Elephas maximus indicus: one gene and its partner. The protein of the gene in region 2 purifies or fractionates together with the protein of the main gene of each other region. This does not show direct contact. Links are inferred from orthologs where the notes say so. Each region holds a gene or a part of one and is shown on either strand. Other genes may lie near its edges.

Region 1 (3,746 bases), on a different chromosome or scaffold from region 2:
CCCATAGCTGTAGCATGTATGTAAAAATAAACTGCAAGCAAGCAAAAACTGCATTTCAGATATTTTTATTTCTTCAAACTTTTTATTTATCAGGAGTGACTGAAATAAAAAACAGAACTGAGTCCCATCGTCATCAACACAGAAATGACTTTAAGAGAAAACTGGTCAGATGAATATTATTGCTTCCCATTTTCAACCAGCAGATAGTTGCTGTTGATAGACAGCCAACAGTCTGTCAAGAATGTTCAAGATATGTTATATATAACACAATATGCCTGTTCACAGGGGTAAACAAAGTAGGAAATAAACTTATGTGAACTTCTTGATTTCATCATACAAGACAAGCACAAAAGCACCACCCATGCCTCTGAGCACATTGGACCATGCGCCCTTGAAAAAAGCTTTGCCGCCTTCATCACGAGCAATCTTCCTCCAGCAGTCAAGTGTGCCTGTGTACATGATATCAGCTGCAAAGAATAAACATGGAATTGGTGACTGAGGGCAGATGAAAGGCCGAAAACTCAGTAGGACAAGAAGGGAGCCCTGCCTCCCTAAAAGCTAGTGTCCATTTTTGTAAACCCAACATTTACACATTCCCGTGAGCAATCGTCAACTATTAATGCTGTGACTAGAAAATAGGGATATGCAAACAACCCATTGGTCTTAACCTCTAGGACCATTTAAGCACTCTCATTCAGTCATCTAACAGCCTACTCAAAGGCAGCTGTGACACAGAAGCTATCAGTCCCAACCCAGGATCCAAAGACTGCCATTTTTAAAGTCAGGCACTGCCAGTTTGTGGCCACAGCTTGCCCCATGCCCACGTCTCTGACTATCTCCTGCTCAGGTGGAACTTACTTCCTTTGCGCCCTGACTGCATCATCATGCGGCGACGAACAGTGTCAAATGGGTAGGAAGTCAACCCAGCCACGGACGTGACGGTCTGAGCTATCATCCAGCTGATGATGATGTGAGTATTCCTGGGATCTGGAAGCATTCCTGAGAAAAGGAAAGGAGACACTTTGACCAAAAAGCAGAGTTCTACTTAGTTGTGGTTTTCCACAACCCCCAAACATTTCCTCATTTCTACACTGGATGACCCTGGCTTTCTTAAGCAATTAAAAAAAAAAATCTCTGGAAAATTAGGCTGGCATAACAATCTTTTATAAATGGTCTCTTAACAATGCAGCTTCAAAGTACATCGCAAACTTACCCTTTGCAGTGTCATAGACACCGAAGTAGGTAGCTCGGTAGATGATAATACCCTGCACAGACACATTAAATCCTTGGTACAGGCCCTTAATCCCATCAGATTTGTAGATCTTAGCCAGGCAGTCACCGAGGCCTTTGAATTCCCTTTCGGCACCAGCTTTACCCACGTCAGCTGCTAGACGGGTACGAGCAAAATCAAGAGGGTATACAAAGCACAAGGATGTGGCCCCAGCAGCACCACCTGATGCCAGATTCCCTGCAAAGTAGCGCCAAAACTGGGTCCGCTTGTCCACACCACCCAGGAAGATCTCCTTATATTTATCTTTGAAGGCAAAGTTGAGAGCCTGGGTGGGGAAGTATCGGATGACATTGACCAGGTTACCACGCCAGAAGGACAGGACTCCCTGCTCCTTGGGGATACGGACCACACAGTCGATAATGCCCTTGTACTGCTTATCTGCAGTGATTTGCTTGCTGGCATGCTGCACCTGAGAGAGAACAAGCGGGCCAAGAGGGACATTTATAACCATGTAGAAGCTGAAAGGGAGGCGAAGATATCATCTCAATCAATGTCCTTTAAGGTTAGCTACCCGCCCCGCCCCGCGCCCCCGCAACAAGTCTAGCCTTGGGTATCATACAGGTTGGACCCTCCTAAGCCCTGAAGCTGTCTCAGGTGGAAGAGGTGACATGCACCCTTACAGGCATTAAGCCTCCACCCATTTGGGTGGAGAGGGGGCACCCTCAAGAAGACTGTCACCTTTCTATCTGAGAGAAAGGTCATTACCTCAGACCCAGGTTCACGGGCACTGAGTCCAAGGTAGGGTGCGGTCACCTTGATGACCTATACCTCAGGTCTCCTGCACTGCCTCCCTCCTGCTCCGCCCCAGCTCCTCTCCTAGAAGCGACTGTGCCGCCACCCCGACTTTCACCCAGGAGCTCCCTCTAGAGCCGGAGCGGAGAATGGCGAGGCGTAGGATGGCTGGCCGGGAGGCGGCGGCTGCGCGGGGGAGGTTGTAGAAGCACACGCGCTTCCCGGCACCGACTTCCGGCCCGGCAAGGTTTGCGCGCCACCCACGTTGGGGGGCATGGGACCGGCCGGCTTGGCCTCCCCCGGGCTGTTATTTCCTTGCCGCAACCTTGAGGTCCTCCGTAAGGCCCGGGGCTCCTCTTTCTCGCGCCTGCATTCAGGCTTCGCCCTTGACCCCAAAGCCCGGGGAGATAGTCGCTCGCAACTTGCCGCATCCGGGATGCTGAGCGCCTGGCCTTCCTCCCCTCCCTCCATCCCGAGCCCTTCCTAGGCACCTAAACTTTAAGTCCCTCGTGTTGGCCGTTTGGTCCGACTTTGTCGCGATCTCCGCCCCATCCCGTCACTTCCCCGGACACGTTTTAGAGTTGGCTCCCCTTCGCCCCTGGGGACCCTGGCTTTGTGCGCGACCCCTCCCCACTTCCTGGTTGGGCTCGCGACCCCTGGACTTACCTGCAGCAGGAGCTTGACCCGTTCGATGGGCGCTACCGCGGTCTTGGAGATGGCCGCAGCCACTCCACCTGCCAGGAAGTCCTTCGCGAAGGACACAGCGGCATCTGTCATGTTGAAAAAAAAGAAGGCAGGCGACAGCAGCAATGGGACACAAACCGGCTTTGACTCCGGGGCTTTGGGGCGGAGCAGAGCAAATGGCTGATTTATATACGGAGAGCCGGCGCCAAGGCGGCCGGCGTTGGGGGCGGGCCCCGAGCGGGAGCTGAGCCGCGGCGCTCGGGGCGGCAGCACCGCTGATTGGCTCAGGGCGCGGAGGGCCGAACCTCTGGGACCCGCCAGGGCGCCGCTCTCCCCGCGGCTCTGGGCCGCCACAGCACCTGGTCCGGCAGAAGGACGGGGCGGGCCCAGGGAATACCCAGGATCTGGGCGCTGGAGCCTGAAGGGGGCGGGCCCTTCAAGGGGGGAAAAAGGGTGAGATCACGTGTGCTTGGACAAACCCCCCTGGAGCAGGGCCAAGACCAGGGTGAGGGGAGTGAGGGACTCGTCTCAGACACAATACTTAAGAGGGCGCCAAAAAACTCAGTAATCGCAACAAATAGTATTTTAAAGCAATATTAAAAAAAAATTCCAATAAGCAATCTATGGCCGGTGGGCCAATCACCTGCTTTTTTAAAAATAAAGCTTAATTGGAGGCAAGTGAGGCAGGGACATGCAAGTGCAGGGTCAGATCCTGTCTTTATTTGCAATTTTGATAGTATGTTCAATCGTGGATTTTTTGCATTCATTTATTACTGTGGTAAGTATACAGGTAAGAAAACATTTGCCGTTTCATCATTCTTCACATGTACAGTTCAGTGCCGTTAAACATGTCCATCATGTTGTTCATCACCCTTAACCATTCCCGAATGTTCTGCATTAATTTTCATTCTTTAAAATAAAAAAAAAAATTTTTTAATACTGCATTAAAAATTATCTATCTTGATTACCGAGTTGTTTTGGCTCGCCACCCCCCCCTTAAATTTTGTGTTGAAGTGAGTGCCTCACTCTCGTCACCCTA
Region 2 (3,746 bases):
CCCTGGTGCTTTCTGTTCATTTATTAAGTCTCCCCTCTCCTGCTCTGTCTTCCTGCACTTCTGGTCTCTAAAGGTCTCTAAATAGCTACAAAACTAAGTACTCACTTCCTGTCCCACGTGTCTCCCCAAGGACTTTGGTAATAGGATCTGTTCCTCAGAGTCCTTTCTCCTTGAAAGAACTGGTTGCTGATTTTCTGATTAACCATCCCCTCCCCAAATCACCACCAATGTATTTCAAGAAATGACTTCCTAACCTTCTTTCAAAAACTCACTGAGGTCTTTACTGTTACTATGCTTAATCCTGGCTCCAATTTAACCCAGTGTCCCAGAAGCTATACTCTCACCATGGGAATCCTAAAATTTAAAAGGTTCCAATCCTTTCTAATGGAAACCTTGTTGGCATAGTGGTTAAGTGCTACGGCTGCTAACCAAAAGGTCAGCAGTTCAAATCCACGAGGCACTCCCTGGAAACTCTATGGGGCAGTTCTACTCTGTCCTATAGGGTCACTATGAGTTGGAATCGACTCGATGGCAACAGGTCTGGTTCTTTTTTTTCACTTCTTCTAATACCTCAGTTTCTCTAAGGGTTGTAATGGGTTATAGAGCTATCCTGCTGATTTAGAGAGAAGTTCAGTGATGGTGGTACTGTCTTGTCGTGCAGGTGTGGCCAAAAAGATCATAGTATGAAGACGTGCCATATAAACCAAGTAAGTTTTTCTGATCAACTGCTTTCTGTTCCTGCCTCTGGACTCTATAGTTCGTTCCATTTATCTCCACTCTGAAAGTGATCCTCCTCTCATCATACAGCCACACACAAGGCAGGTCAACCTGTTGCGTGCTTTCCATGGTGGAAGTTACAGAATGTTGGAGTTGGAAAGGGTCTTAGAGATAAACTAGTTCATTGCCATTGCTTGACCAATGAAGAAGTTGAGACCTAGAAAGGTGAGGTGACTTGCTTAAGGCCACAATGTAAAGTGGACGAAAAGCCAGCTTAAACCCCTGCCACACTGCTAAAAGCTGGACAACGCATCCCAAAGATACTCTCTCTGGAACTACCCAACTTCAGCAGAGCAAAAGCTCCTGTTCAGGGCAAGGTCACCCAAATAGGTCTAAGGTTATACCAAGTTATCTCCATTTCAGCTAGCCAGTGAAATCCTGACACTCTGTTGAAGCATACAGGGTGGTGCCGCAACTTTAACAACAGCAGGAAATATCCAGCCAGCAAATGGGCCAAATGGGCCAGGTAGCTCTTTTTGAATCATGCGTCTCAGAAGAACCTACAGCCAAAAGAACACCAGGCTCTGATAACAATGCAAATACTTGGTGTGGAATGGCAGTAGGTAAGCCCTCTTGTCACAAACACAGTTCCCATCACAAGAGTCATGTGGGCTATACCAGTCAACAGGAATCTTCTGGCAAAAGACACTGACCCACCATCCTTCAGTGCCTCACCATTATACAATGCAGAGTTCACCACACCTCCTGCAACGGCTAAGGCCAAGCCAAACTTGCCGATGGACTCAAACACCTTGGCAGCCATATCTTCTGCTGGATCTTGCCTTTTAGCCCACTCAGACCTAGAGGTAAAAACAAAATAAAACAATGGAGCTCCCCCAGAGAAAGCCCTCTGTGAGACAAAGCATTCACTTCTCAGCCTGGGTATTTATTTTCCCACTTCTGAGAGCTCTAACTCTCCCACTGAGGGGTGCTTAATAAATAACTCCATGGCTTGGAAAAATGCAGTACCAATTCCTGTGCTTTTTCTTCAGTTGAAACCAGTTAAAGAAAAGGGGGTCTAGGGGACTTGGCTCAATGATGGGAACATGAAGTCAGCAAGACCAAGGCACGAGCCTGATACCAAGGAGAATTTTTCGCTGCATTCTAAACAACTCTCCTGTTCCCTGGACAAGTAGGCCCGAGTGAGAGGTCGTGTGGCTTGTTCTGTGAAACCAATTCCAGTTTGGAAAAATAACCCAAAGAAGGTGCTACACAGTGATTCCAACAAAAATAACTACTAATATTTATACCAGGCAGAGTTCTGTGGCAATTTATTTCTCACAATTCAATGAAGTAGATGATTACAGATGAGGAAAGTGGAGCAAATGAGCACATTAGGTGAGGAGCCTAAGATCACACAGCTATTCAGTGGTGGAACCATGATTTGAGCAGGGTGGTCTAATTCTAGAAGGCACAGCTTAACCCCTCATCATACCGCTTCTCAACATTATGTATTAAGAATACTGTTATTATGGAAGCAAGAGCTGGATGACATTCTGGAACCAAGATAACAACCGATTTGGGCATAAAGGTTCTAAGTAGCTTCACAGCTAAAGAGCGCTCTTTACGTGTTGGTAGGGTGGAGCTGAGGTAGGGTGGGCGGGACCAGAGTTGACCTAACTAAAAACCTACTCCAGCTTTTAACTTTTTTTCTCGTTTTGTTCTTTGATGCCCCGCCCCAACGTTTGCTCCCCTGTCTCAAATCTTCCCTTTTAGACATCAACTCTTGAACCTAATTTGAGCTCTTTCCGTGCATTTAAATCTTTCTTCCCGCAGCCCAGAACTTCTGGTCCTTCCCCTTCAGCTATTCCATTTCTAAAAGTTTTTGGATTATTCCTCACCCTGCCCCCATACACACCTCCCTCACTCTATGGAACCCCTGTCCCGTCCCGAACCCATCCTCTTTCCCTTCCCCTGCGAAGCGGACCCACGCACGCACCCCGCTCGCCCGAAGAGTGTATGCAAGGGAAGGGGAATTTGCAGAGACCCCCAGCAGGCCTGTACCACGTTCCACCATTCTCACCTGCTTCCACTCTGACCTCCACATGAATTCCCCAACCACACACTGCCCATGCGCCCGGCAGCTCCTCCTCTTTCCCGCCCCCTTCCAATATCCGTGCCTCTGATTGGTGAGGAGGAGCGCTGTGAGTTCTGGGAAGGGTAGTTTGCAGCCTTGCCCTGGTTCCTCGGCTCTTCGGAGGTGGACTACGATTCCCAAAAGGTCAAGCAGCGGAAGCCCCGCGCAGAAAGGCGTTTTCTCTTTGGACGTAACCGCAGAGAGGTTGCCGCAAAGCCTTTTGGGGGTTGTAGTTCCTGGGGCACATGCCTATCCTGAACTGGTGCTAGAGCCTATCCGAAGAAGGCCGCCCCTAGAACCCCAGGATAAAACGGCTGTGCCAGCAGCTGGTGACCGGACTGGGCAGGGCAGGGACTAGTCTACGGCTGATGAGAGAAGAGGGACGGGTACCTTCGTAAAACAACTGGTGGGTGGGAGACCTTGAAGGAAGCTGAGATGCCGTCTTCTTTCCGAAGCCCCGTCCGAAAACGTCTTCGAAATTCCCCAAAAGAAACCCACTGCCATCGAGTCGATTCCGACTCATAGCGACCCAATAGGACAGAGTAGAACTGCCCTATAGAGTTTCCAAGGAGCGCCTGGTGAAGTTGAACTGCCGACCTTTGGGTTAGCAGCAGTAGCTCTTACTCACTACGCCGCCAGGGTTTCCGGAAACGTCTTTAGAGTCATGGATATTGATTGCCAGAACCAGAGGGAATCTTAGAAACCAACAGGACTAGAGAACTGAGGCCCAGAGAGGGGAAGGGAGTCATTCAAGGTCATGCACGAGTTAGCACAGGGGCTTGGCTTAGAGTCTGGGTACCCTGGACACAGTTTTTTAAAAAAAGTTTTATTTGGCAAAGTTGCAGGAGTAGCACAGAGAATATATGTGTACCCTTTACTCAAATTCACCGGT

The links. The genes of interacting proteins can lie anywhere in the genome.
Region 1: the proteins of PHB1 (region 2) and SLC25A5 purify together in Homo sapiens (affinity purification with mass spectrometry; 3 studies listed by BioGRID and IntAct, with this or other methods). This does not show direct contact. The link is inferred for Elephas maximus indicus from reciprocal best matches to the Homo sapiens genes PHB1 and SLC25A5.

Annotation. Positions count from the first base shown.
Region 1 is NC_064846.1:37,412,529-37,416,274, forward strand, and holds SLC25A5 (ADP/ATP translocase 2), read right to left. Parts: upstream 2,962-3,746; 5' UTR 2,801-2,961; coding exon 2,690-2,800; intron 1,701-2,689; coding exon 1,214-1,700; intron 1,000-1,213; coding exon 859-999; intron 468-858; coding exon 310-467; 3' UTR 55-309; downstream 1-54.
Region 2 is NC_064837.1:44,182,279-44,186,024, reverse strand, and holds the start of PHB1 (prohibitin 1), read right to left. Parts: upstream 2,848-3,746; 5' UTR 2,801-2,847; intron 2,791-2,800; exon of another isoform or gene 2,717-2,790; intron 1,578-2,716; 5' UTR 1,541-1,577; coding exon 1,453-1,540; intron 1-1,452.